Mus musculus: one gene and its partner. The protein of the gene in region 1 interacts with the protein of each later gene in a pairwise test. Links are inferred from orthologs where the notes say so. Each region holds a gene or a part of one and is shown in the gene's direction. Other genes may lie near its edges.

Region 1 (2,898 bases):
AGGGAACTAGTGCTCTGAGTGTTCTGGTGGCTGAGGGCAGGTCTACTGCAAACATGGGCATCTCCATGAAGAGAGGACTTGGTAGTACCTAGTGCTACTGGAAAATGGGGCTGGAGTAGACTAACTTGAGAAACCACTGAACCACACTAGACTTGGAGGGTGTCCAGTGAAGATGACACCATTGGGACAGGGTAGTAGTCTTCAGCTTTTCTGGGTTCTACATCCAGATTCATGGAGGGCTCTTTGACGTAGTTAAGACGCCTCTGCAACAGGAACTGCTTTAGCTGCTAAGTCAGCAGTTTCCAGCTGGGTATGGTAACACACGCCTCTTAATCTCTGCACTCAAAGTAGACGACTATGGCTTGGAGTTCCAGCATAGTGAGTTCCAGGTTAGTCTCAACCACATAGCAAGACCCTGTCTCAATTAAGCTTAATTGTGAGGACGTGTGTTTGATCCCTAGCACCCATGCATAAAAGCCATATACAGTGCCCCGCACCTGTTATCCTAGTGCTGAAGAGGTTAAGACAAGAGAGTCCCTGGGGTTCACTAATCAACCAGCCTAGTTGAATGGACAAGTTCCAGATTCAGTGAGAGACCCTATTTTGAAAAAATAAAAATAAGGTGGAAAGCAACTGAGGAAGATACCCAACATGTACCTCTGAAGACTGGCAAGGAACCTTCCTAGGTCATCAAAGGGCTTCCCTTCCAGTGTCAGGGCTACTCAAGTGTGCACACACACCTCCCTCCCCTCCCTCAGCCATCTGGTCAGTAACCAGGTTGTCTATGCTGACTATCTACATGCAGGTACAGTGTCCCTTTTTCCTAGCAGAGGAACTGGCTATGTGCTCAGTAAATGATAAGAAGCAGGTCAGGGAGAGGAAGAAGCAGAACTAGGGGCTTCAACTGAAAACACAAGTCCTTGCTGGTCAGGCTAGGGACAAAGTGGTAGCAAGTCTAGGAATGGGAAGTACCCTGGATGCTACATGCTGCTCGGCTTCACTGGAAAAGCAGAGATAACTATCACAGCAGTTGGACAAGAGTTCATTCAAATGAAAAACAAAAAGGAGAAGCCCATTCACACTGGCTTTTTGCCTCTACAAAGGTTCTATGGGGGAGATGACATTTACCCCAGTAGCCTAAGAACCAGGAGAATTTGCCCCTAGGCATGTGTCTTGATCCTACCCCCAGGATCAGCGAAGTGGAGCCCAAATACTATGCAGATGGGGAAGATGCGTATGCAATGAAGCGGGACCTCACGCAGATGGCTGATGAGGTAAGAGTTCAGCCAGTCCAGGGCAGCAATTCCAGCAGCAGGGGAGATTCTGTACTTGGGAAAGGTGGCTACTTTAGAGCTGTGAGACTGAGTGAGGCAGTGGTGGCTAGAGGCAAGACCAAGATTGAGTGTCAGCCCTTGTCGTTGTAGAGCCCCTCTTTCCCTCACTTCCTAAGCTGTCAAGTTGTGACATGGCCTCTGTTGACTCTAGAGGGGGCTATGGGATGCTTTCTAGGGAAGAAGCCTGGAGGTGGGTGGAACAGGAGAGAGAGTAGGAAGATATTTTTCTAGGGAGAGGGACTACTAGGGTCAGGGGCAGCCTGCTCAGATTTAGGACTAAACTGGGCTAGGGGGAAAGGGTCTCTGACCAAGCCTCCTGGGGAGGTACTGCTCTGTCTTGGAGGCTCCCCAACAGCACATTTGAGGGCAATAGGACCTTTGTCATTTTACAGATGAGGAAAGCAGGCTTAGGGCAGAGCTAGGATTGAACTACATTTCTACCCAGTCCTATTTCTTGCCTTGGCCCTACCACTTCTCACTGTGTCCCTTCCCCCAGCCAGCCTCAGGGCCTGGCTCCTCTTGTCTCCTGTCTGGAGACTTAGGCCCTGTCTCTTTCCACCCGCTTCCCTCTGGGCTCCTGGCGGCAGCTGAGGCGGCACCTGGAGCTGAAGGAAAAGGGCAAGCACATGGTTCTGGCGGCCTTGGAGAACAAAGCGGAGAACAAAGGCAACGTGCTTCTGAGCTCAGGAGAGGCCTGTCGTGAGGAGAAGGGCCTGGCTGCTGAGGATAGTGGTGGGGACAGCAAGGACCTCAGTGAGGTCAGCGAGACCACAGAGAGCACAGATGTCAAAGACAGCTCAGAGGCCTCTGACTCTGCCTCCTAGAACCTGCCCCACCTGGTCCCAACCTTGCCCCATGTGCTTTTACAATAAATGTCACCCAGTGGCCTTGGGAAATTTGTGAATGTGCATAGTGGGGTATGCTTTTTTTTTTCCAGTTCCTATGTGTCAGGGATACTATCTTCACAGCCTAGACTGTATTGAGCTCACAAGTCAAAACAGATTTGAGGATGGGACCCCAAATCTGACTATCTTCAACAACTGAGTTGAAGTTGGCAGGTAAACTGTTTTGGGTGCTATATTCTTTTTTTGTTTTTTGTTTTTTTCTGGTTTTTCGAGACAGGGTTTCTCTGTGTAGCCTTGGCTGTCCTGGAACTCACTTTGTAGACCAGGCTGGCCTCGAACTCAGAAATCCGTCTGCCTCTGCCTCCCGAGTGCTGGGATTAAAGGTGTGCGCCACTACGCCCGGCTGGGTGCTATATTCTGATGTCACGTGTCTGGCCTATAGGCCTCATTAATGTCCTTTTTGTCCTAATGTAATTTTCTAGGGCTGAACAAAATGATTTCCTGGGCTTTCTAGTCAGCCTCACATTTCAGAGGCAGCTCTCCTACCTTGATGTTCTTTGCTGTACTGCTTTGCCCCCTTATGCCCCTCTCAGCCCTTTACCCTAGGTCATACTTGTTCTCATCAGTAGGAGCTTCTGGAACCCCAAATGCCCAAGTCCAACTGCTCATTGCACTTATCTGGAGAGATCCTAGCCCCAGGTGCTTAGGCTCTTCCTATC
Region 2 (3,823 bases), on another chromosome or scaffold:
AACTGAAAAGCTTCTATAAAGAAAGAGACACCATCAATAGGGCAAAACCACAGACCGCAGAATGGGAAAAATATCTACAGCAACCCCACATCTGACAGAAGACTAATATTCAAAATATATAAAGAATTCAAAAAACTAGACATCAACAAACTGAATAATCCAATTTAAATGGATTATTTAAATGTGGTACAGTACCTAAACAGAATTCTTGACAGAGAAATCTCTAATGACCAAGACATTTTCAACATCCTTAACCATCTAGGAAATGCAAATTAAAATGACTTTGAGATTCCATCTTACACTAGTCAGAATGGCTAAGATCAAATGCTGGCAAGGATGTGGTGCAAGGGGACACTCCTCCACTGCTAGTGGGAGTGCAAACTCATCCAGACTCTTTGGAAGTCAATATGGTAGTTTATCCGAAAATTGGAAATTGATCTACCTCAAGACAGAGCTGTCCCACATGTGGGCATATACCCAAAGGATAATCCATCATATCACAAGGACACTTGCTCACTATGTTCATATCATCTTTATTCATAATAGCCAGAAACTTGAAACAACCTAGAAGTCCCTCAACTGAAGAATGGATTAAAAAAAAAGATGTGTACATTTAAATAATAGAATACTACTCAGCTATTAAAAACAAGTTCCTCATGAACTATGTAGGCAAATGGATGGAACTAGAAAATATCATCCTGAGAGAGGTAATCCAGCAGCAAAAGGACAAGCATTGTATAGACTCACCTACAAATGGATCTTAGCTGTAAAGAAAAAGATAATCATGCAACAAACCACCAACCCAAAGAGCCTAAGTAACAGGGAGTTACAGACTTAGAGAGGGGTCACAGGGAGTCTCTGGGGAAAGGGAAATAGAATAGATTTGGGGAGCGAACTGAGACAGGTGGAGTTGGGAACCGGAGGGATCAGATTCATGGGGAGGGAGGAAGAAAAGACTGGGAGAAAAGACTGGAATTGGAGGCCATTTGGGGGAAAGGTGAAAACCCAGTGCAATGGAGACTCGATGAAATTTACTAGAGAAACCCTAGCCAAGACTCTAATAATAGGGGACACTGAGCCTAAGTCAGCCATCTGCCTTAACTGGGCAAAAGGCCTCACTCAAATGGAGGGATTAGGACACCAACCCAGCTACAAAACCTTCATCCTACAACTTGCCCTGCCTGAAGAGTGTGCTAGGACGACAGCCTAGCAGAATCATTATTGAGAGACCAGAGACTTCATCCAGCAACTGAGGGGAGCAGATATAGAGTCTGACATTCAAACATTAGGCTGAACTCAGGGAGTCCTGCTGAGGAGGTGGATGGAGCGATTGGAGGAGCCAGAGGAGTCAGGAACAGACCAGGAGAACATGGCCCACAGAATCAACTGACTGGGACTCTGGGGACTTGAAGAGTACAGGGAGCCTGTAGGGGGTTTGACATAGGTCCTTGGCATATATGTTATGGCTGATTAGCTTGCTGTTCTTTTGGGAATCCTAACGTGGAAGTGGGGGCTGTCCCTGGGTCTCTTGCCTACTCATGGGACCCTGCTTCTCCTACTGAGCTGCCTTCCCCAGCCATGATGTGATGGGAGGTACTTGGTCTTGGTCGTATTGTAGCTTGTTATGTTGTGTTTGGTTGATGTCCCTGTGAGGCTTGCTCTTTTCTGAGGGGAGGTGGATTGGGAGGAGAGGAGAAGTGAGGGGAGAGAGGTGGAAGGGAGGGAGGAAGAGGGAACTGCAGTCAGGATAACCACCAACCAAAGAGCACACATGGTAGGACTCATGGCTCCAGCTGCATATGCAGCAGAGGATGGCCTAGTCGGACATCAATGGGAGGAGAGGCCCTTTGTCCTATGAAGGCTCTATGCCCCAATGTGGGGGAAGGCCAAGGCCAGGAAGAGGGAGCGGGTGGGTTGGTAAGTAGGAAGAGGGGGGAAGGGATAGGGGAGGGAGTTTTTTTGGAGGGGAAACCAGGAAAGGGGATAACATTTGAAATGTAAATAAAGAAAATATCCAATAAAAAATATTAAAGAATAATAAAAATAATATATGAAAGAATACAGATTAAATTAAATAAATAGATTTATTTTCAAGTAATGACAGTAATAGCTCTAATATGTATAAAGTAGTTACTGTATAGATCATAATTCCATTATGTGCCCTTTTAAATTATATTCTTAAAGGCAGCAGCCTGTTTTCAGAAATTGAAATATCCTTAAGGTTCACAACCAGTAAGTGATTGAGCTGTGACTTGAGAGCAAGTCTTTCTGAATCTGGGATCTACAGCTTTTAGGCATGAAGGAGAAAATAGCCCTTCCTTCTTTATCTATGCACCTTTGTACACAATTACCACTATCACTTATCTCAACATGGAGGGAGGGAGGGAGGGAGGGAGGGAGGGAGGGAGGGAGGGAGGGAGGGAGGGAGGGAGGGAAGCAGAACCCCTAGAGCTGATAATCAGACCTTAGCAAGTTAACTCAGTTACATGGAGAACTATGTTTCTGTTTGTGGGTTGAATTATTAGTTGGGCTCCTCTCCTAGATTCTAGCTCCATTGAAATTCTCTGTCCTCAGGATTATGTTGGGGACCTTGCAGCCCAGATTTCCAGTGATGAAGAGGAGGAGTTTGTAATCGAGTGTTTGGGAACGCTGGCAAATCTGACAATCCCAGATCTAGACTGGGAACTGGTCCTGAAGGAGTACAAGCTGGTTCCATTCCTCAAAGACAAACTAAAGCCAGGTCTGTGTTCATTGTAGAGCTCTGCATAAGCTCTAGGTTTGGATAAGATTCTAGCCCAGCATTGTGTGAGTCCACTGTTATAACTAGCATGCTCTTCTGACAGCTTTGTTTTGAGGACAATTTTCTGTAAATTCTGTATTTGTCCTAACAGTGGTTTCTTAACATTAGTTTCCCTCTCCTGTTTATTTTTCTATTTTTACCATATGTTTATTGATAAGTGTCCCCACCCCCATGTATACAGAAAGATGTGGAAGCACAAACACAAAATTCTTTGAAACATTGACAAGAGTCTTTTATTGTCTGTTTTTGTTATCTTTCAGTTGTATTTTCAAATATATATTTACACCTTCTATTGTCTCACCAAGTCAATAGGCCATCATGAATAAAAACAAAAAACAAAACAAAACAAACGGAGAAGAAAAGAAAAGAAAAAAAAAAAGACAAGTTTATAAGCATGTCAAAGATTGGTAGATCCATAGGGATGGATTTGAATCTTTCAGTATTTTTTTTCTGTGCACTCACATTTGATAGAACAAATGAGCTTGCTCCAACCACGTCAACAACAACCTTCCATGCCTTGATCCCGCCAGGTGCCGCAGAGGATGACCTTGTTTTAGAAGTGGTTATCATGATTGGGACGGTGTCTATGGATGACTCTTGTGCTGCCCTACTGGCCAAATCTGGGATAATCCCAGCCCTCATCGAGCTGCTGAACGGTAACTCTCATGCTCTGCCAACGCATACAAGATACTATTATACATTTTAACACATAAAATACAGTCTGCAATGTTATATAATATCTGTTTTCTTTCATTAATCATAGGATTAACTAAATTATGTAATTACAAAAGATAAACTAAACTAAGCTGCTGAGTTGGATTGGATAGAGTGATATGAAAGGCCTGGAGGTTGCTGTCGGGAACGTTACTGTGAAGCAGCTCTGGGCTGACTTCATGTGCTCCTCCCTCCTCTAACCTCCAACACTGCCTCACTTCTTTCTGTCTAGCCTCATCTCGGTTTGAGTTAAGTCTTCTCTATCTTGCAATCCTTGCTTCTTATATCTTCACTTCTAGGTAAGAATGT

Evidence for each region.
Region 2: the proteins of Naa10 (region 1) and Kifap3 interact in binary tests that used the Homo sapiens proteins (3 or more experiments, as listed by UniProt). The two-hybrid records come from large-scale screens. The link is inferred for Mus musculus from reciprocal best matches to the Homo sapiens genes NAA10 and KIFAP3.

What each region holds. Positions count from the first base shown.
Region 1 is NC_000086.7:73,916,219-73,919,116, reverse strand, and holds the end of Naa10 (N-alpha-acetyltransferase 10), read left to right. Parts: intron 1-1,164; exon of another isoform or gene 1,165-1,189; coding exon 1,190-1,274; intron 1,275-1,830; coding exon of another isoform or gene 1,831-1,921; coding exon 1,922-2,158; 3' UTR 2,159-2,247; downstream 2,248-2,898. UniProt on the Homo sapiens protein: Catalytic subunit of N-terminal acetyltransferase complexes which display alpha (N-terminal) acetyltransferase activity. Acetylates amino termini that are devoid of initiator methionine.
Region 2 is NC_000067.6:163,859,381-163,863,203, forward strand, and holds part of Kifap3 (kinesin-associated protein 3), read left to right. Parts: intron 1-2,574; coding exon 2,575-2,740; intron 2,741-3,330; coding exon 3,331-3,456; intron 3,457-3,823. UniProt on the Homo sapiens protein: Involved in tethering the chromosomes to the spindle pole and in chromosome movement. Binds to the tail domain of the KIF3A/KIF3B heterodimer to form a heterotrimeric KIF3 complex and may regulate the membrane binding of this complex.